Linked DNA regions of Schizosaccharomyces pombe. Changing the gene in region 1 together with any one later gene gives a genetic interaction. Each region holds a gene or a part of one and is shown on either strand. Other genes may lie near its edges. The genes, in order: lsb5, gda1, gar2 and SPOM_SPBC1778.03C.

Region 1 (5,315 bases):
AGCGTCATGCCAATAGAATAGGAGAAGAATTTAGTCAAACTGTTCAATTTATTAAATCTGAAACTACTCTGAAACAAAAAAAAACCAAAATTGACGTTCAAAATGTTTATGGACTTGACAGAAACACAAAGAATTTGGAAAAACGCGATATTCAATTTCTAGAAAACGACAAGTTGGACCTGAATTCTCATGAGAACGAAGGCGAAAAAACTAAAACTGAAACAGTACCTACGCGTAAACAGTTTCCAAAAGTTGGAGAATTTAACTCCGCAATACACGGTCTTTCTTCGGAAAGTGTTTTGAGAACATGTTTTCGTGTAGGAGAAGTCTTAGCAGTATTCAGGATGAAACGAAGAGATGTATGCATTATAGTTGAATTTTTTGGTAAGGTCTATTATGTTTGCTCTCAATATATGTTGGTTTTATTGCATAAAAATGAAATCTAACGTTATAGCAAAAGTGCGCTCTGCAAAAAAAGTCGGCAATGTCATCCTCTACTACTTTGAAGACGCATTTCGTGGACAAAAATCACCAGCGATATTTGCTAAATATTACTCATGTTGCGAAATATCGCCTCTTTTAACTAAACCGGCAACTATGATCAGAGTGGTTGGAATCGTCTCTCATGCCGAAAAGATTTTAAAAGTGATACACATAGCTAGCTCGGATTTAGATGAATTATGGGACACTTACAATATGGTGCTCTACGAAACTTTATAGATTATCATCTATATATGATCATATTCACAAAAGATAAGTAAATATCTCTGAAGAACCAATAATCAAGCTTTAGAATCACAACTGAAAAAAATGGGCTAACGGATAATACACAATACGTTATCAGCATAGGAGCATACTGCAAAGTCAGTAAAGACAAATGCTCCGTAGATGAAAACAATTGACCGCACGAATATCATATAACAAAAAAGACTTGTCATCAAGTTTGTAAATCTGAATTGGGCGAATCTATGTAAGCGCTGAGCAAACAATTAGGGAAATTTGGAACGGGCGTCATTCAAAGTGAAAGGTTTTTAAGAGGATGCAATGGGGTAACTTAGACGTATTGAGCAAGCCACTTGAAGCCTTCGCCATAACCTTGGCGAAGGACCACCGAGCACATGAATACTTCGATAGGTCGGATTCCAGGAACGGGTTTAGACACGCCCTTACCAGTGGTCTGATAAAGTCCAAGGGCCGCCTTGAGTTCATCTTCAGAAATAGCACCAGGGGCATCGATTTTATTGCCAAGAATCAAAAAGGGGACGCGAGCAAGTTCTTCCATGGCCAATAAGGCATCTAGTTCGGCCTTTGATTCAGAAAGGCGTTCAAAGTCACAGCAGTCAACCAAGTAAACAATGCCATTAACCTCGGGGAAATAATCTCTCCACAAGCGGCGAGCTATAAGAAAATTAGTAAAAATACATAAAATCAGATAGAGAATCCAAAATCATAGAAGAAATTGCAAAGAAAAAACAAAGATCATGAGAACAAAACGGCCCACTGATAAACTAGCCAACGACATATGAGACGATATAGAAATTCAAACAACTTTATACAAAAAAGAATTTTAAGCGAAAAAAAATTAATTATTCTAAAGACATTCCAACTCTTACAAAATCTCCATGATTTAGAAAAACAACTCTGTGACTACATACCCTGTTGATGACCTCCCAAATCGAAAGTAGTAAATCGAACGTTGCCAATAGCCAGTTCTTCTGAAGTAGGATGTAAAGTTGGTTGCATTACAGCTAAACGGTCATTCTAAATAATTAGTATAAGGATAATCAAGGAGAGTAGAAGTCAAACATACTTTCAGCATGTGTAGCAAGGTGGTCTTTCCGGCGTTATCTAAACCCAAAAACAGCATCTTGGCATGCTTGTTGACAAGACCAAGCATGGCAAGAGCATCGTAGAACCAGTTAATGATAAACATTGGTGTAAGATGGATGGATTTTCTGAAAACCTGTTATGCTCAGTGTGTTGGTGGTTGGCAAGAGATGACTTACCTCATGCCTAGTTATACTAATTTTCTCTAGGTAACCGAAAATAAGTAGTTAAAGAAAATATTTAATTAATGTACGTATGAAATGAAACTGAATAATTACATATAGTTCAAATTTGGAAGCTTCTCTATGCTTTTTTCTAGTAGTAAGTATGAAGAGAACGATTTTGGCGATTTCTAATTTACATGTTTACGTTTGCTTAAATTAACTATTAATGAATTCGTCTCAATACAATTTCTTTCGGTTTGAAAAGAATAAAGGATGATAGCTTTCAGCTTTTCGTTTAAATAAAATTCGACTAGTAATTTACCATTTCTAAAATTTGTAACTATAAACATGTTATGTATTTGCACTACGCTCAGTTAATAACAGGGCGCAATAGACAAATTGAGAAAAACGGTAAATAAATGTATAAAAGAATTGAATGAATAAAACAATGCACACTTACAACAGTTGGGTTAGAATTACAAAAAAAAAAAATTCACGTAGGCTAACTGTTTTTAATATTAGCTTTTGAGATTAGAAGTAACTTTAATTTCTAAAAGTTTTCTGGATTTCTTTTTTTATAAATCTTACAAATTGTGACATCGGCCTTTCGTAGTTTATAGATATATTATACGAATATATATACATATATTTTTGTTTCTATGTATACGGTGGGTGATACAGGAATTTGTGTTTTATATTTAAAACATATAAATTCAATAATACTCATTTATTCAAAAAAATTTTTTTTTAAGCTAGTTTTTTTCATAATAAGTTGTTAATAACTATCATTTAATTATTACTTAATATTATTCCGGCATACAGAATTAGTAAATATCAGCTGAGAATCTATATCTACAGGATATTTTGCTAGCAAATAAATTAACAAAAATTGCATAATCTTCTCTAAAATTCAAGCATCAATTTTCGGGTTAATTTATGATCTTTTTCATTCTTCATTTCGTTAATTATTTTTGTATCACAACTTTGGAACGTAGTGTAATATGATATTCTTTATCTATACGACACACACCAAAATCCTTCTTCTTTTTGCAAATATAGACAACTTTTCTATTCGATAGCTTTAAAACTTCATAAAATTTTACTTGAAAGAACAACCAGAAGGTACTACTTTCGTTTATTGGAAGGTCCGTTTACAATCGATTGAAAATTATTCCTTGCTGCTATATATTTTCAGACTTTAATTTGTTCCATCAAGCCATCAAACACTCAAGCTATCATTATCTCAGTGAATAATTAAAATCACTATTTCATCTTATTTATAATGGGAATTTTCAGTGAAACAGTTCCAATTACTGCTGTCACCACTTATATCGATCGTTTAACCTCTAGAGATACCGACGATGAGGATTTGTCTGGTATCGTTCAATTATCTGAAGCCGTTAATTTAACTGTTACTGGTCCGCGAGAGGCTTCTCGTACCCTTCGTAAGAAGTTAAAGTACAGTACACCTCATGAACAAGTTCGGGCACTTGTTATTCTCCAGGCTTTAATTGAAAATGCTGGCTCTCATTTTTTACAAAATTTCTCAGACGAAAAATTGGAAGACCGAATGTTGCAATGTGCAACAAATTCTGAATATTCTAAACCCGTTCGTAAGCGTGCTATCCATATGATCAAACTTTGGCACAATGACTATTCTAATGTTCGTGGAATGGAAAGCATGAGTAGTTTAGTATCTCGACTTCCTCAACGACAATCATCTGCTTCGCATTCTGAACAACCCACTATCAATCTTAAAAAGGTTGGTCCAATTTTAGAAAGATTGATAGCCTCTTCCAGCATGGCTGCTACCAATCTTTCTAATAGCCTTGTCCGAATCAATCCTAACACAGAAAATCCGGCCAAAAACAAGCAAATCATGGTTTATTATGTGGATTGTAAACGTGCTCATCGCTCCTTGTTGCGCTACATACAAGCTATTCAAGACGAGATGTGGTTAGCCAATCTCTTGAAGGCAAACGATGAAATTGTGACAGCCATTGATGCATTCAAGGAAAAATGCTCCGAAAACTCAGATTATAGTTCAGATAGTGGATCCTATAGTTCTTCATATTCTCGTCACCTTGATGATCGGGCTTCTTACATATCTCGCTCGAGTAGCGGAGGTTCTAATGCTCAGAGATCAGAAGATTTGGATGTAAACAATCCTTTTGGCGATCATAATCGTTTGGAATAATTAATAAGCTTTCCTTTTTAATGGATTTGAATACCTAATTAATTGGTAATGATCGATTGATATCAAGGGGTGCGAAGGTTAAAAAGCATTTCATCTTGCCTTCAACATCTTCTTAATGATTCTACCTTCCATCTCTTTAATATGAGTGCCTTATTTATCTTGGACAATTATAATTTTTTAAGATTATGAGTCTTTTAGTTGGGTCATGCACTAGATATATATTACTGTATTCGACTTATTAGATACAATCCCTTTTTAGTCAACCTTTTAGCAACCGTGCGCCTTTGTTTATATTATTGCCAATTTTATTGCGTTTAACTGATAAGGTGTTTAATTAATTTATTTTTTTTGCACACTAGTTGTAGTCAATCTTTGTAAGTAACGCGCTTTAAAAAATGTTTTCTTTTAATTAACATAATTTAAAAAGTAAAGTTGTTTTCGAGATATCTAAAGCCATTATAGTATACCGTCCATCTCAAAAAAGCAGCACAACATTATTTATGTAAAATGGATGCATACATGCTTAATTTTAACCGTCAAATAATACAAAAAACAAATACATAACATTTTAACCAATTAAATAGAGAATTTGGTATCCTAAATTTGTAGCCACTTAAAAGGCATTCGTTCGTGAGTTTGTTTGTTTACATTCCATACCATACTACTAAGACAACAACCAAAGTGAATGGGTAATTCAAGACTAAAAGAAAAGAGGATCACGGAAATTAATTAAAAATGGAAAATTATACCAAATCCACAACCATGTGTGGAAAAAGAAAACCAACATTTGAGATTTATCGGGAAAGCGACTTTTCCAAAATAACAAATCAAGGAACTGTGACAGCGTTTGACATTATTTCAAATAAGGAAACATTTTCTGAAAGTAAACAATTAAAGAAAGCTAAGTCTCGAAACGTTACTTTAGTAGATAAGAATACAAAAGCCGATAAAAGATACAAAAGTGAGAAGCTATCAGATTACCTTCTTAACCAAGAACACCATAAAAACTCTCCGAAAATCATCAATGATGTGCTTGTTATAGGAAAAAGTGATGGTTTAATAAACTCGTTTCCATTAAGCCAAAATTATATATCTTCCAGTGAAAGCCAAACATCCTCTGGTAATGT
Region 2 (6,012 bases), on another chromosome or scaffold:
TTACTTCTTTCACATTAAATAAGTTTTGAGATATAACAAATGGTATGAGATTTTTTTTTTGCCTCACTAACTAACTTATTTTTGATTAGTCGTCTGCTATTCTCCTTGGAGTCGGTATCGCTGCAACGGCTGCGGCAGTATGTGAAAACAGAAAATAAAAGCTTGACATTTGAAATGCTAATGACTTTAGGGGAAAATTGGTGTTGACGCATTCAGAAAATACCGGAATTTGAATGGCGGAGTAAAGGCCTTTCTCAAGGGTGGTTTTGAGTCAAAAATGTCTAGGGCAGAAGCCATTCAAATTCTGTCATTGAACAACCGTACTTTAACTCGACAAAAAATAAAAGAGGCTCACAGAAGGTTGATGCTTGCAAATCATCCAGATCGGGGTGGTAGCCCTTATGTAGCCAGCAAGGTAAACGAGGCCAAGTCACTTTTGGATGCAGATCGATCAATCCGAAAATTTAGTTCATGGGCACTCCCTGTTTCTAAGCAGCGATCAATGCCTAGTGTTCTTGAAGCGGTGAAATGGCTTGAATACAGCTCCATACCGAAAGCTTAAAAGTGATGAATAATGGTCTGCATCGTTGTTAATATTATTATGTGCTGTATCTGCTGGAGAACTAATGTTTTCTTGCTAAAATTTAGCTGAAAGCTATGATGCCCTTAATAGAACTAATCATTGTGTGAATTATTGTTTGCTTTTCCAAAAAACTTTTACTATTCAGTTGCAGACACCTTTTGTCAATTTATTTTATTTTTTGCTTCTAAAGATGTGTGTTTGCTCCGTATAGTACATCGCCTTCGATTCTTTTCGTACTCTTATATCAATCCTTTTTCGGAAAATGCGAAGGAAACCCCGAAATTGTATTTTTTTTTCTTTCTCTACGCTGGAGCTATTTAGTAATTTGATTTCGAGCGTCAATGATTTTGTCTCCTTTTTGATGGTTGTACCGAGTGTTAATAGTTTAACTCTTTTTTAGATTAAATTTGAGTCTCTCATATGTTTCCGGACACTTACTTTCCAAAACGTTTTCAATGGAAAATTGTCAGGTTCTTTTCCATGCATTCCGAGTATCAATTCACAACAAGGATAAGTTAAAAGAAGAATTCGAGCATTTGATTTCCTTAGTCGTAAACAATATCATTCCTTACAAAATGTATACTCTTTGAAATGATTTTAGTTTTTGACTTTTGCGCTTTGAATGACATTGTTAAAACCTACTTCAGTAACAGTTTATATGAAGTATGTTTATTTAAAAATTTATTTCATAATCATAATTAAAAAAAATGAATTGATTAATAAACATCGAAATTTCGCTTCTAACAATGATTATTAACACAGAAGCTGCCTTTACATATCACTCTGACGTTACCGTATATAAGTGCGTACTGTCAAATTTTTTTTGACTTAAACAAATACGTTCTCTAAGATTTTGTTTCTTAGTAGAGTAGGAAGTTTAGTATATTCATTTTTTTTTAAAGTGCATAAGATAATAAGAAACGCGATGTCTTTTCATATTACGCCCATATGGATGTGGAAAGGAACGGGCAACAACTATGCCTATTTGCTGACTTGTGATAAAACCAAAATCACTGCCATCGTCGACCCTGCTGAGCCTGAGAGGTAAGTGAAGAGAATGAAATAACGACTTAAATACTGTTATCTGTGATTTCGGAAACATGATTTTCTCCTCCTGTTTTCCGAATTGTTTTGTTTGTGCGCTCCGTAACATTTAATTAACCAAACTAACATTGACAAACTCTAGTGTTATTCCTGTCATAAAAGAGAAAACGGCGAAGAAAGAAATTGATTTGCAGTACATTCTGACCACTCATCATCACTATGATCATGCAGGCGGCAACGAAGACATTTTGAGCTACTTTCCTTCTTTAAAGGTCTATGGCGGAAAAAATGCATCTGGTGTCACATACACTCCCAAAGATAAGGAGATTTTCAAGGTTGGAGAAGTTCAAGTTGAGGCTCTTCATACGCCATGCCATACCCAAGACAGTATTTGTTATTACGTTTCCTCTCCTTCAAAAAGAGCCGTGTTTACTGGAGATACTCTTTTTACATCAGGCTGTGGTCGCTTTTTTGAAGGAGATGCCAAACAAATGGACTACGCTTTGAATCACGTCCTTGCTGCTTTACCCGATGATACCGTAACTTACCCTGGTCATGAATACACCAAATCAAATGCCAAGTTTAGTTCCACGATCTTCTCTACTCCTGAGCTTACAAAATTGGTGGATTTTTGCAAGAATCATGAATCTACTACTGGTCACTTTACCATCGGTGACGAAAAGAAGTTCAATCCATTCATGTGCCTTGGGTTAGAATCGGTACAAAAAGCAGTGGGCAGTAGTGATCCAATCACTGTTATGAAGAAATTGCGTGACATGAAAAACGCTGCTTAGACCGACTTTGAATTTATCTGATGATGTTTTATGTATGCCTTGGTAAGCTCGGTTGCTTTGCTTGATTCTACTAGGAGCTAGAGCAAGAATATAGTTGATCTATTTTTCAATTGGATCACATATACGAATTGAAGGCTGTTTAGCGGTGTCAGAGTAAATTGCATCCTGAGTTTATTTTATTCAAATAAATGTTTTCGTTTCTTTACATGTAAGCAATAAAGAGATTGATTATCTTAACTTCGATTAAGTTATTGTATTTACATATAATTTTGGGTGGCCTATACAGTCGCACTTTTACCGTAAATGATTTAACGCGATTAGAGAGGTATCCACACAATAGCATTTACAACTCTGAATATATGCTAAGCCAGTTTTTAATGTTTATTTAACTTGCCATCAACCAAGTAGTAAGTGTTGATAGGTGTTTTGGTGCCTACTAATTAATATAATTATCATAAAATCGCGTTCATTTATTCACTCTTTCTTATTTAATTGACTTCTTCACCAATTTATTTGAATTCACCAAATATCTCTTAGGATTACTCACTCATTTCATGACTCCAACTATGAAATCAATAGCCCGTAGGAAGGCTTTGTTAATTGCACTATCTATATTTGCTGTTACGTTCATTTTATGGAATGGATTCCCAGGCTCATCAAACCGACCTTTACCATCTTCAAACGACGAATTCCATTATGAGGACATCGAGCTTCCTTCAGGCTACAGAAGTGAAGGAGAGGTAGTCGATCTTTTGAATCCCAAGGATGAGTTAGAGGAACCTCTTTTTTCCGAAGAACCTTTATTTCCTGTTACTACCTCTATCCCTACTAAGACTGCTGTTTCTAAACCTAAAATAGCTCCAACCAGTGCGGCAAAGGATGTAACATTTTCTTCTTCTATTGACTCAGATGATTGTTCTGTGGCTTATGATAACAGCAAGCCTGTTCGTCAATATGTTTTGATGATCGATGCTGGTTCCACTGGGTCTCGTGTTCATGTTTACCAATTTAACAACTGCAATCCTTCTCCCAAATTAGAAGAAGAGTTTTTTAAAATGATAGAGCCTGGCTTATCTTCTTTTGCCGGTGATCCTGAAGGAGCAGCGGCATCCTTAGACCCACTACTTGACTATGCCATGGAAAACGTGCCTGAGGAATATCGTCGTTGTTCCCCTATTGCTGTAAAAGCAACCGCTGGTTTACGATTGACTGGGGAAAGTGAGGCTAAAGCTATTTTGAAATCAGTGCGACAACATTTGGAAAACGATTACCCTTTTCCTATTGTAAAAGACGGTGTTTCTATCCTTGAAGGTTCCATGGAAGGTATATATGCGTGGATTACCATTAATTACCTTCTAGGAACTTTGGGTGGTAAAGCCACGCACTCTACTGTCGCTGTAATGGACCTCGGTGGTGCTTCTACACAGCTTGTTTTTGAACCACGTTTCGCTTCTGATGGCGAATCGCTTGTTGATGGTGACCATAAGTATGTTTTAGACTACAATGGTGAGCAATATGAACTTTATCAACATTCTCACTTAGGTTATGGTTTGAAGGAAGCTCGAAAGCTGATTCATAAATTTGTGCTGAATAATGCAGAGGCCCTAAAGGAGTCATTGGAGTTGCTCGGTGATTCCACTAGCATCATCCATCCATGTTTGCATCTCAACGCTAGTCTAACGCACCCGGATTCAAAAAGCGAAGCTTCTGAGGTCGTGTTCGTTGGCCCTTCGTTAGCCCATCTTTCTCTTCAGTGTCGTGGTATAGCAGAAAAAGCCTTGTATAAAGACAAAAATTGCCCAGTCCGTCCTTGTTCTTTCAATGGTGTTCATCAACCCAAGTTCACTGAGACGTTTACTGATTCTCCCATTTATTTAATCAGTTATTTTTACGATCGTATGATCAGTTTAGGCATGCCAAGCACTTTTACCATTGAAGATATGAAATATTTGGCAAATAGTGTTTGTAGTGGACCAACATACTGGCAGGACGCCTTTTCTTTAACTGACGCCCTTAAAGAGTTGAAAGAAGAGCCAGAGTGGTGTTTAGATTTGAATTATATGATTTCTTTACTTTCGGTTGGGTATGAAATCCCCAATAACCGACAGCTCCATACTGCTAAGAAAATTGACAACAAGGAACTTGGATGGTGTTTGGGAGCTAGTTTGTCTATGTTGTCAGAGCAAAACAATGGTTGGAATTGTAACGTGAAAGAAGAAATTTAGTTTTTACCTTCTTTTATTATGTTGAATGAACAACAAGCATATGTAAACTTGTTTGCTTAAAACCTCAGGAGGTCAAGGGTTAATATAGTTGATCCTGTTTTTTTTCTTGTTTTTTCTTTTTTCTTTTTTCTTTTCTACATTCGTCCATATTATTTCCATGTCTCAAAATTCGCTACTCCGCTCCTTTCAGTGTTAACTTCTTTACGGGCGTATAGCAAATCTAACATTTGTTGTACAACTAACATTAATAGATTGAGGGACATTCTTTATTCCACTGGTTTGTTTCATGTAAATCAAATCTTTCAAATTTCTGGGAAAGTTGAAATTGATCAAGGCAATTTTCCCAAATATCGTAGGCATCTTTTTACGGAATACATACAATGTGTGCTAGCTTTTAATACTTAATAAACTTTCAGCGATAATAGACCTAATAAATACATTTATGTCATTTATATTTACTGAAAAGTAGAAAATGTATTATAATGAAGGTTGAATATAGGAATCCATAAATGCCGACATCGATTGATGAACTTAAATAGCTAAATTAATGAAATATTTCAAAATAAGTAGTAAAAACCTCTGTTAATTTGTATAAGCGTCACTAAAGGCTATTTCCAAACATCATGAGAATTAATAATCTTACTGTCTAAAGAAGATCGCGGCCGAGAAGAATTGGATTGAACGGGTGATGCTCTAGCAGATGGTTGTGCACTGGTCACATTAGAAGTGAACATAGGCATCTTCCACTTATCTGCCACAAAGGAGGATCCTGTCGTAGCCGGTTGATGAAAAGCACCATAAGGTTGGCTAGACGTAGTACTAGTTGAAACTGGGGACGGTAGATTTTGGTATGTTGCATTGGTGGTTATGCTTGAAGAACTTACTTGTGGTCGTGGAGATGCATATAAGGAGAGAATTGAAGACTTTAAATCTCGTTGTCTAGTCGAAGGAGCATGCACAGTAGAAGGTTGCTTGGATAAAGAAGCTAAATTAGGAGACGACTGGGCTAAAGAAGTGGTAGCTGATATAGCTTCTTTCTTGGAAGTAACGTTGGTAACTGTAGCAGAAGAAGTGCTTTTAACTGAGTGAGCACTGGAAGATCGAGAAGCAGTATTAAGATCTAAAGAGGCGTTGACTTCTGAAACAGGTCTGGTATTCTGTTCCGGTTTTAGCGTTTCCGGAGAAGGAATTTCAGGGTAGAGTACCCATTTTTTAAATTCGTATTTCGTCTTTATAAAAGTCGCAATTTTACTAAATCTAGGTCAGAAAATATGCAGTAAAAAAAACAAAAAAGAAGCTTCCAATTTGCTAGCAACGTGTAAAGGGTATGTAGCCTAGAAAGATAACATTCAATGCCAGCTATGCT
Region 3 (5,657 bases), on another chromosome or scaffold:
TCTCTAAATTAAAACCTAATTTGAAAATAGGGCAAACATGTAATTTTCTTGTATTTCTCGACTTTTGTTTTTTATTTTAATTAAATTATCAATTACAGAAAGTATTTATTTTTTAATATGACTCTAATATTTTCATACTGTCTATCCTTTCACTCTAATCTACATGATTGTTTTGTAAATTTGGCAGTAATTCGGCTCAAGGGTTATTAGGTTACCGGTTTATTAATCAGTTAATAGCACCTTATATGAAAAGAGACGAGATTAAAGTCATACAGTTCTACCAAATAAATAGGTTTTTTTTTTGAATATTTATTTTACGGAAGTAATATTAAAACTCGAAGTATGCGTATTTAAACATTAATTAACTAAATTTGTTTGGATAAACCGCTTTGACCATCTTGACTAACTGCACTTAAGCGAGTAATACGTTAGCCAACTTCCTATCGCGTAAATAATTTAACGCTGTCTACGACAGGCCAGTAAACACGCGATCCCCATACATGTTTTAGATGTACGGGGGATTTTTTTTTGAAGAAACTGTTAAATTTAATACACAAAAATATTTAAAAGTTTTATTTTGGATATGAGTGAAAAATTTAATGTATTTTTCTGCCGCCAATAAAATTGATTCTGTTTCCATCTATAATAGCCAACCACAACGCTCGCCTTTACCAGTCTTACCAACTGCCAATATTAAAAATCAAAACATATCGAGATGTTCAGCCGTCGAATTCAAGTTTTGAGCCCGTTTTTGAAGCATTTTGTTAACAGAAATGCCCGTATGATGGCTACAGAGGCCAACATATCTGCCACTTCTGCTAATCCTCAGTCACAGGGTGAAAATTTAAAAACTTTCGAGATTTATCGCTGGAACCCAGAGAAACCAGAAGTAAAGCCAAAGCTTCAAAAGTATACAGTCGACTTAACAAAATGCGGACCAATGGTTTTGGATGCGCTTATTAAAATCAAAAATGAGCAAGATCCTACCTTAACGTTCCGTCGCTCATGCAGAGAAGGTATTTGCGGGTCTTGTGCGATGAATATTAATGGCAGTAATACTTTGGCTTGCATCTGTAACATTAAAAAAGATAACAAACCTACTAAAATTTACCCCTTACCTCATTGCTTCATCGTAAAGGATCTCGTACCTGACCTAACCTACTTTTATAAGCAATATAAGAGTATTGAACCCTGGTTGCAAAACGATAACATCCCTAAAGACAAGGAGTTTTACCAATCTCGCGCTGACCGTGCCAAGCTTGACGGTTTGTATGAATGTATTTTGTGTGCCTGTTGTTCTACCTCTTGTCCATCTTACTGGTGGAACTCAGAAGAGTATCTTGGCCCAGCAGTTTTGATGCAGGCTTATCGTTGGATCATCGATTCTCGTGATCAAGCTACTGCTAAACGTTTGGATGTCATGCAGAACTCTATGTCTGTCTATCGTTGCCATACCATTATGAATTGCGCTCGTACTTGTCCCAAGGGTTTGAACCCTGGCCTTGCCATTGCCAAGGTAAAGGCTTTGATGGCTACTGCTTAAACAAGATTTACGCTTCTTTTTGTCTTTTCTTTCGCATCTGATGATTCCAATATTTCTTGTTAAAGAGGAACCCCCGTTGTTACTTAACCTATTTTATGTTTCTCTTCTACGATTTTTTTTACTTGCGTAGCTCTGTGTTTAGCTGTCATCTATGCTACATTACTTTCTCGATCTGACCATTACTTTTGCGTTGTTCCCGTTAATGAACCCTTTATTTTTATTTGCAATATCTAAATCTAGTTTACCATTAATAATTTCGGGAAATGGTAAACTTTTCTATTTTAAAGAAAATATGCTATTTCGTGGTAACTTGTGCACAATTGAATTGTTTGATTGTGATTTTTTACGCTGTTACATCAGATGAAATAATTAAGCATGTATTTGAAAATTATCTAAACCACTTTTTTCACTGTTTATTTGTGGCTAGTTACTGCATTTAACATAGCAGCTGCTTCTTTGGTTAAAGAGTTGAAAACTTTTTAGCATATTGAGAGCCCTTTAAGGTAATTGCTTTGTAAAACTTGAGATAAGTAAATGAGGCATCTTTTATTTAATTAAAGTATCACATAAAAACGGAAATCATGTACACAATAATGAAAGAAAAATAAATCTTAATATGACGATTAAACCATGGTATTCTCCATAGGCTGGTCGAAATTTTTTGTTACTATAACATGATTTTAAAATTTCAATGGATCAACAATGTACATTTTCACGGCCACTTTTTAGTTTATAATATTTGACGAACACAAATAACTTGGATAAGATGTTATCGTTCATAAGAATTTACATATTCACCACTCCAGATAATACTACGCAAGACTAAACCTAACTCCTTCGTTTCACTGATTCAACAATTTATTAAATTTCAATATGCTTTTTACCTTTAAGACATGTTATAAGCCTTCAGACACACTCATTTTTTAAATATTAATGGCGAATATTTTACTTTGCTGGTTTGTTGTTGAATAGCGCAGATAGCTATTACTTGATAGCGTAATTAGTTAAACTCGCTTTTATAAAAAATAGTAGTAGTTGAACAAGCTTCTATATTAGTAGTTTAACGAATACGTCTAGAAAATTTGCTATACTAGTATACGGCTTCAGGTACATATATCATCGGTAAAAATTTTTTTGGCTATATATAGCAGCTTGTCGCGCCGTACCAGCAGTCAAACTAAAAAACTCCCAAATTCTTTTAAACGGGCTTTTGGTATAGGTTGTGAATATAATGGCAAAAAAGGATAAAACCTCCGTTAAGAAATCAGTGAAGGAGACTGCATCAAAGAAGGGTGCCATTGAGAAACCTTCCAAGTCCAAGAAGATTACTAAGGAGGCTGCTAAAGAGATTGCAAAGCAAAGCTCTAAAACCGATGTCTCCCCTAAAAAATCTAAAAAGGAGGCTAAGCGTGCTTCTAGTCCCGAACCTTCAAAGAAATCAGTAAAAAAGCAAAAGAAATCTAAGAAGAAGGAAGAAAGCTCCTCAGAATCCGAGTCTGAATCTAGCTCATCAGAATCCGAGTCTTCCTCTTCAGAATCCGAATCTAGTTCTTCAGAGTCCGAATCATCTTCATCTGAATCCTCTTCGTCTGAGTCTGAAGAAGAAGTGATTGTGAAAACTGAAGAGAAGAAGGAGAGTTCCAGCGAATCATCTTCCTCCTCTGAGTCTGAAGAGGAAGAAGAGGCTGTTGTAAAAATTGAAGAAAAGAAGGAGAGCTCTAGTGACTCTTCTTCCGAGTCTTCCTCATCTGAATCTGAATCCGAATCTTCCTCATCTGAATCTGAGGAAGAAGAAGAGGTGGTCGAGAAGACTGAAGAGAAGAAAGAAGGCTCCAGCGAGTCTTCTTCTGACTCCGAATCCTCGTCAGATTCCTCCTCAGAATCTGGAGACAGCGACTCTTCCTCTGATTCTGAATCCGAATCCAGCTCTGAAGACGAGAAGAAACGTAAAGCCGAGCCTGCTTCTGAAGAAAGACCTGCTAAGATTACCAAGCCTTCTCAAGATTCTAACGAGACTTGCACTGTTTTCGTCGGTCGTCTTTCTTGGAACGTAGATGATCAGTGGTTAGGGCAGGAATTTGAAGAGTACGGTACAATTGTTGGTGCACGTGTTATTATGGATGGCCAAAGCGGTCGCTCAAAGGGTTACGGCTACGTTGATTTTGAGACCCCTGAGGCTGCTAAGGCTGCTGTTGCCGCTAATGGTACCAAGGAAATTGATGGTCGTATGGTCAACTTAGATCTCTCTAATCCTCGCCCAGCCAACCCTCAACCATATGCTCAACAACGTGCGGGTAATTTTGGAGACCAATTATCTGAACCTAGTGATACCGTATTTGTTGGAAATTTGTCTTTTAACGCAACTGAAGATGATCTCAGTACGGCTTTTGGCGGTTGCGGTGACATTCAATCCATTCGTTTGCCCACAGATCCTCAGTCAGGACGTCTTAAGGGTTTCGGTTATGTTACTTTCTCTGATATTGACTCTGCCAAGAAATGTGTGGAAATGAACGGTCATTTTATTGCTGGTCGCCCATGTCGTTTGGACTTTTCAACTCCTCGTACTGGTGGAGGTAGCCGTGGTGGTCGCGGTGGATTTGGCGGTCGTGGTGGATTCGGTGGCCGTGGTGGATTTGGTGGCGGACGTGGTCGCGGTAGAGGTGGTGCTCGCTCTGGAAACCCCAACCGTGGCTCGGTTGCTCCATTTTCTGGGAACAAAGTCACTTTTGACTAAGTATACTGGCTTTTAACTATATTGAGTTCATTTTTATGGGTTAAATGTAAATACCTTAGCAAATTAATATATGAGTTTGGGTTTTTGGGAAACTTTTTGGCATAAAGGGTTTTAATAAATGTTGGGCTGTGGATTTGATTTAATTGGGTTGAAGTATTCAAATACAAATGACTTGTTTGGGTTTGTTATGGAATGAATTTGGGTTTGGTTTGGTTTTATTGACTTTATAAAGATAATAAATATGGGCCCGTTGGTTTTACAATTTCAAAGCAGTGATGGTTGGCGTTGTTCTACGGTTTAGTTCATGTATTCACCTTTCCTTTATACGTTCCATAGAAGCTTTTGACATAGCTTTAGATAGGTTTTAATATAAAATAGAATCTTATTTAGTTTTGTTCTTGTTCATCTAATCAATCCATGTTACTCACAATCATCGTTGATCACTTTCTAATAGCTAGTAAATGAAGACCGTTTTGTGTTCCTTTTTGGGCTTTTCCATACGGCACTTTAAATTAATGATTTTTTGTTGAACTTTGATTGTGGTCTTACCCGTAATCATAAATGAAGAATGTAGTCGAGCCATTGTCATATTGTCTTATATCTTCAACTTGTAATGTCTCGTCTATTAAATTAGGTAAGCATCAATAGAAGGTATCATTGATTCTACATTACAAATACGCTTCTATTTCAACTTTTAAATTAATACAAGCATGTTTACTTACACTTTGGTTGCGATTATTTTAAGCAAATTAAAAAAAAATATTTTTGTATATCAAATTATAATATAGCTAAATTCAATTGTAACAGTAGTGATGAGTTCTGGCATATTCAAAAAACGGTTGTAGAATAATATATCCAGCGTTACTAAATCCGGCAAAGGAACTGTCTACTTAACTCTATGAACAAAGCTTCTAATACAACACTGTAAATTTGGTTCCTTAGATTCCCCTTACCACACTGATAAACTAGTAAATCAACTATACGACTAGTGTACTGACTTTCCAGTCCAGATGAAGTGATTGAGTGATGGCAGAAGGTGATTTTAAAAATGACAGTACAGGTTGTATTGGCGATAGCGTGGAATTTACTACTTTTAAAAAACGTACAGGAAAAAGTCTCGGTAATAGAAGAAAAAAGAGGGTATTTCTTAAGCTTTAGAAAACCCGTCTAATAAATATTAGGGATTGTCTGGATGGGAGCCTTATTTTCAAGAACCCGAACTGACAGCTGAAGAGAAATTGGAAAATGAGACATTATACAGCAGGTGAGAATACAAAATATTGTGTCTTACTAACACTTCTAGGAACATACCATTGACTGTGTTAGTAAACAGATGTTAAGGACTTTGCTGACAAATTAGGCGAATGGAGCGATTTATTC
Region 4 (5,326 bases), 660 kb from region 1:
TAAAACGTCTGGATTTAGCTAAAAGGGTTAGATCTATTGCGGCTTTAGCAGGCAACATGTATTCACTTTATACTGCAACCAACCCTAGCCCTTTGGTCGCGGAGTCTACAGACGACGTGATTGCTCATCAAAGAGATGTACTTTTTGAAACAATAATTGAGTTTGAAAGGGGGAAATTATTAATAGCCGCCATTTCAATTGATGGGGCTGAAGATAAACTTTACTCCAAAGACCCATTATTATTAGGGATTGTTGGAACAGAAAACGCAAAGGAAGGAATGATGCAAATCAAATCTGAACTTTTGAAAGAGTGTATCACCAATGAGCTTTCCACGCTTGGAAAACCAGTCTAACTTATTTTAAATCTATTTTGATTTAAACTCGATAATGTTTGGAGCTTTACTTGCATTGTTTGTTACAATCATAGGCTTAAGCCTGACCTTGGTTTAAGAAAAGAATGCTACAACACATCATTATATTGTTAATTTTCTCTTCCCTTTTAGCAGATTATTTTGAATTTTTCATTTGGACAAAGGATATATTGATTTTACGGTTTATTTGAATGTTTGAACTTGCTTTCTGGAATTTTTGAGACATCCTTAAAACTTGAACTAACGTTAATTTGTCCGAATTGGGCGTCGGATTAGCAAAAACAAATCATCTAAACCCTGGAAATTTTCATCTTTCTCTGCAAATCTTCTATGATGTTTTCCGCCCAAATGCTATCGATGTGTTAGTGCTGTTTTTGCTATGATTGGTTTAACTTACCCTTTCCAAGTCCTTGTATCTCTCACAGCAGTTTTCACAATATCCTGATTTTGTTTCGATTTTCACCTTCTTGTGAGCTAGAGGATCTGCATCGAAGGCATTAGGTGGTTGTCGAGGACTTTGGTTAGCCAAGGTGTTTTGTTTGTTTATTAAACGAGGTTCAAGAAGGTTAAGTGGAGACATTGCGGCGCGTTTCTCTACCGGTAAGAGGTTTTCTGGCTTTGGAAACTCTGTCGGCATTTGTTTTGCACCATCAACTGCTGATTCTGTGATATTATAGTCCCCCATGATTTGACGCACCAACACACTCGCTGAATTTTTAACAACGTTATTTTGGTTAGTTTGATTAGTGCAACTTAAGAGCTGTTTTCTGATTTCGTGAGCTGGATGGTTATGTTTTGTGATTTTTAACTCCCTTCTTCTACCAGTATTAAATGGACATCTTCCTTGTGCGGTTATAGCAAGACTTGGCCATAAGATCTCTCCAGAATCCAATGTTTTCTCCCATTCTCGTACTGCAATTGGCTTATAGTATTGTGATAAATCTCTAATGCAGAGGAAGTATTCACGAAAGTACTCGACGTTTTTGCTTGGCACGTAAAAGTCTTTGTCTGATGTACCATACACTTTTTCACCGTCTAGGAGAGATTGCAAGCACGAAGCTGAGGTATTAACCAGGCTATCAGAGTTGAGTAATGTAAAGAGGATTCTGTTCAATAGTTCTAAGAAAGTTAGCGAAGGTTACACTGATATATTAAGAAGACTTACTGTCCAGGAGCCAAATTTTCATATTGGCAGTTTTCGAAAGGTAAAGTACATCATTCGGCTGGCACATTTCTGGGTCGGTAGTCCTGGTGGTAATGAAATGTGTAACTTCAAAAGTAAATAATGTTGCTACTTTCTATATATGTGTTAGTTTTGATCTGCGCAAGTTCTTGCATGAACTACTTACGGCTCCAAGATTATTAATCTTTTGCGTAACACGACGCTTGATTTCCTCATCAACGTTGTCAAAGTAAAATATAAAGTTGGGAAACGCCAATCGATAATCTCTTTGCCAGTAACGAAGTTTGGAAACTCGAATGCTGGTTCTTGGTATATCCTTGTTTCGCGTTAGGGAAGGTTTTACACAGTAGTTTGAAAAAGCAGTGGGTGGGAGAGCCATCTTTGCTGTGGCTTTAGCAGAGTCAAAGGCATTTTGATGAGGCATGTGCGTTTGTTGTTGAGGGTACCAGTCGGAGCATGAAGTTGCGCAAGCTGCAGTTTGACACAGTTCTTTGTCCGAAGTTTCTGTTTTATAGCTAAGAGGATTTTGAATATCTCTCTTTACTTCTTCGTTTATATTTTGTATACTGGGATTTTGGTCGACTAGAGGAGATCGAACAAACGGCTGAGACTTCACTGAATAGAAGTCCATACTCTTCCGGATTGACTCGGAAAGATTTTTAGGAAGAAGAAGTATGTATATATATTCCTTGGGAGGCTGATGAATTCACCTGTTGGTTAATCCTACTTATGTCTGGCTTTAATATTCAGCAATGGCCTCGGTAAGCAAGATGCAGGTTTTCCTCTAGAAGTAAAAAGATAAACCTATCTTTTTTTCTGTGGAAGTTTGGAGGAGTATCCTGGATATATATACAATTTGATTTTGTTTGTTTACTCAAATATTTTCTCATATTCACCTAGTATTGTTTGTAAACAAAAGCCTCGCCTCGCGTATTAAGCCAGTAAATTAAACGCGCGACACGTCGCGTTGCGTATCACATTCATACTAAATAAATAAGCTACTTTGGCTCCATTTGATAGTTTTGCTGGGTTCCTTTGTAAAAATTTTTTTAGTATTCATATGATTAGAAAATATATATTTACTTGATTCAAGCTTGTAAAATAAACATAGACCCAATTTTAAATAAATAGGTACCTAAAAGTCTAGGTAACATTGTTACACTGACACGTGAGAACTTTGTAGTTAATTAATCGTCAACATAACGAAAACAACTCAAAGCAATTCCCGTAACTGTCCATTTAGGAATTAACCAAAAAAACAAACAAACAAAATCTATTTTTATTCCAATGATACTTTTATGACTCACCAAGGCGTTAATAATTGCGAAAACACATACCAATATGTTTACAATTATTTTTTTAACGAAATTCGTTAAATACTTCATGGCATTTGAGAAGTTGTATGGCAATCGTATTTAACGGAGACTTTTTCATATTCAGTATCCCTTTTCATTTGGAACTTTAAGGTTTTCCCAGCTGAGAGTTCGTTTACATCATTTTATTAGATTTTTACTTGCAACTTGGGTTCGACTTTTAGTTCACTCATAAATTGTACCATTACCATTACGCTGGTGCATAAATAACCCTCCTTCTGGTCCTCTCTGTTCTTCATTTCCATCTTTCATTTTCTATTCTGCGTATTTTAACAGTTAAACAATTGTAGAATTTATTCGAGAGATTTGCAAAATTCTGTTTTAATAATTGGTTAGGTTTAATATTCTTTTCGTCTTTCAGAAATCAAGTTTAAGTATGCAGGGTTTCAAAATAGCTCGACATTTTGAGTAAGTAGTTAATTGTTAGTTCTATTTAAAGCTACTTCAAACTTGATAATTCATATCATCTGTTTTGCATGCTCATGGAACGTACCGCTCAACCCTTGCTAATACATGTGCAATGTAACACATAAAATCAATTTTTGATATAATAATCTTAAAAAAATGAGTTTTCTAACGTTTTTCAAGGCTTCCGACTGCCCCTTCTCAGTTCTTCGCAGGAAGCTCATTAAATAGGCTTTCGTTTCTTAGGTCTAATCGAGAATTTTTAAATAAAGCCTTTTATGATCATACCACTCGCTTTCTTCCTTTTTGTGACTTAAATCCGGCTCTACTCGTAAAGGACGATAAATTGGTCACTCTTTCATATCCTCAGATATCCAAATATTTCACGTTCTCCCCTTTTGAGCACACTGATAAACAAATTGCTGAACGATTTTCCAAAGGAGAAAGTTTACCTGTCCTTGTCTACATGGGCAACGAAGAAAGAAATGGACCAACAGATAATTGGAGTCAACACAACGTTTTTGCCATTGACATTACTGGCATCGATGAACTTCAGCAATCGATACGAGACAATGGAGGTACTTTCGTTAATCTTCGCTCTATCTTCACCGAACAATATCAATTGAGCGCATCGGATTCTGGTGCTTGTGCTTTTGCACGCTCTATTCTTGACTGGATTTCAAGGTACAGATTTTGCCCGGGTTGTGGAAAACGCAACATACCTACTATGGGCGGTACAAAATTGGTCTGCAGTGACGTTTTATTGAACGACGACTCAAACTGTCCTTCAAAGAAGGGTATTAATAATTACCAGTATCCTCGGACAGATCCATGCGTAATAATGGTTATATTGTCTCATGATATGCAACACATTTTACTTGGAAGAGCTTTGCGCCATCCGAAAGGACTGTATGCATGTCTGGCAGGCTTTCTGGAGCCAGGGGAAAGCTTGGAAGAGGCCGTTGTCCGTGAAACCTATGAAGAATCTGGAGTTGACGTAGAAAAGGTTTTATATTATGCTAGTCAACCCTGGCCTTTTCCTCAAAGTTTAATGTTGGCTTGTTTTGGAATTGCCCGAAAAAATGCTAAAATCCAGAGAGATAAAGACTTAGAATTAGAGGATGTGCGTTTTTTTTCCCGAGAGGAAGTTCTTCGTTCTTTGGAATGGGATGCCAAGGATGGACCTGCTCCAATTTTATTTCCCCCTAAACTATCCATCGCTAGAAATTTGATCCAAGCATTTGCATATGATGATTGGACAAATTCACAAGTTAAAATGTAAAGGAAGTTATAAAAATGGAAGTTTAGCTACTTTTCCAAAGATAATAAGTGAATTTTCTAAAAAGGTTGATTTACTCTGCTACATCAAAGCAAATATAATCGGCTCATCAGAATTGAAATATTCACACCTACTAAATCCAGAAACAAAAAGAATTTTGTTAAGTTCAATATAAAATATTTATATAATAAAATCATGAATTATGCATAAAAAGATTCGTAATATTGTACAAGTTTAGGTCTCTTTAGAGAAATAGAATTTGGGCAGAGATGCTCGGCAATTTAAGAAGTTTGTTTTGAAAGTAGTTTAGCAATGGCAATTCGTACTCTTCCACCCGTAGATTCCATAGCTTCAAGGAATTGTTGTTCTGTTGAATTTGTGTACCTTAAAATATTGTCGATCGCTTCATCAACCTCACGGTGATTTACTGACGACCTTAAAATAGAAACTTCATTTTGTAATTCATGCATTGCTAAGTTAATAAATTTTCCTTTCTCTTCACTGGGTACATGACCTGCAGGTAATGTAGTTACTTTTTCATTATTATCTGACGGTATGATTATAGTCGGACCGGTATGAGCTTCTTCGTTAACCATTCTGTATTTTTTCTGCTTTTTGGTAACCGGTTGCTGCATGTTCTCTTCCACTTTCTTATGAGAAGCTGCATTTCCTTCTAACGAAGTGTGAGCGACTTTTGTGGCACCAAAGCTTTCTG

The links.
Region 2: mutations in lsb5 (region 1) and gda1 together harm fitness less than expected from each alone (positive genetic interaction), as found in Schizosaccharomyces pombe (one large-scale study listed by BioGRID).
Region 3: mutations in lsb5 (region 1) and gar2 together harm fitness less than expected from each alone (positive genetic interaction), as found in Schizosaccharomyces pombe (one large-scale study listed by BioGRID).
Region 4: mutations in lsb5 (region 1) and SPOM_SPBC1778.03C together harm fitness more than expected from each alone (negative genetic interaction), as found in Schizosaccharomyces pombe (one large-scale study listed by BioGRID).

What each region holds. Positions count from the first base shown.
Region 1 is NC_003423.3:3,759,897-3,765,211, forward strand, and holds lsb5 (protein lsb5), read left to right. Parts: upstream 1-3,040; 5' UTR 3,041-3,273; coding exon 3,274-4,188; 3' UTR 4,189-4,543; downstream 4,544-5,315. Other genes in the region: protein mug37, read left to right, coding at 1-384, 455-720; ADP-ribosylation factor Sar1, read right to left, coding at 1,055-1,398, 1,656-1,761, 1,811-1,933; protein Mde2, read left to right, coding at 4,924-5,315. UniProt on the Schizosaccharomyces pombe protein: Essential for the organization of the actin cytoskeleton, fluid phase endocytosis and vesicle trafficking.
Region 2 is NC_003424.3:1,695,063-1,701,074, forward strand, and holds gda1 (Golgi nucleoside-diphosphatase Gda1), read left to right. Parts: upstream 1-2,808; 5' UTR 2,809-2,975; coding exon 2,976-4,646; 3' UTR 4,647-5,100; downstream 5,101-6,012. Other genes in the region: TIM23 translocase complex subunit Tim14, read left to right, coding at 40-42, 90-137, 191-562; hydroxyacylglutathione hydrolase Glo2, read left to right, coding at 1,509-1,627, 1,770-2,421; SPOM_SPAC824.09C (GTPase-activating protein), read right to left, coding at 5,255-5,897. UniProt on the Schizosaccharomyces pombe protein: After transfer of sugars to endogenous macromolecular acceptors, the enzyme converts nucleoside diphosphates to nucleoside monophosphates which in turn exit the Golgi lumen in a coupled antiporter reaction, allowing entry of additional nucleotide sugar from the cytosol.
Region 3 is NC_003424.3:1,894,749-1,900,405, forward strand, and holds gar2 (nucleolin), read left to right. Parts: upstream 1-2,713; 5' UTR 2,714-2,774; coding exon 2,775-4,277; 3' UTR 4,278-4,743; downstream 4,744-5,657. Other genes in the region: sdh2 (succinate dehydrogenase iron-sulfur subunit protein), read left to right, coding at 716-1,543; arb1 (argonaute inhibitor protein 1), read left to right, coding at 5,304-5,417, 5,459-5,541, 5,581-5,598, 5,638-5,657. UniProt on the Schizosaccharomyces pombe protein: Helps the assembly of pre-ribosomal particles containing 18S rRNA.
Region 4 is NC_003423.3:3,100,143-3,105,468, reverse strand, and holds SPOM_SPBC1778.03C (NADH pyrophosphatase), read left to right. Parts: upstream 1-3,105; 5' UTR 3,106-3,303; coding exon 3,304-3,335; intron 3,336-3,515; coding exon 3,516-4,614; 3' UTR 4,615-4,826; downstream 4,827-5,326. Other genes in the region: guanyl-nucleotide exchange factor Lam2, read left to right, coding at 1-353; Spo4-Spo6 kinase complex regulatory subunit Spo6, read right to left, coding at 618-722, 769-1,490, 1,537-1,669, 1,721-2,185; telomere-binding protein Rap1, read right to left, coding at 4,893-5,326. UniProt on the Schizosaccharomyces pombe protein: mRNA decapping enzyme that specifically removes the nicotinamide adenine dinucleotide (NAD) cap from a subset of mRNAs by hydrolyzing the diphosphate linkage to produce nicotinamide mononucleotide (NMN) and 5' monophosphate mRNA.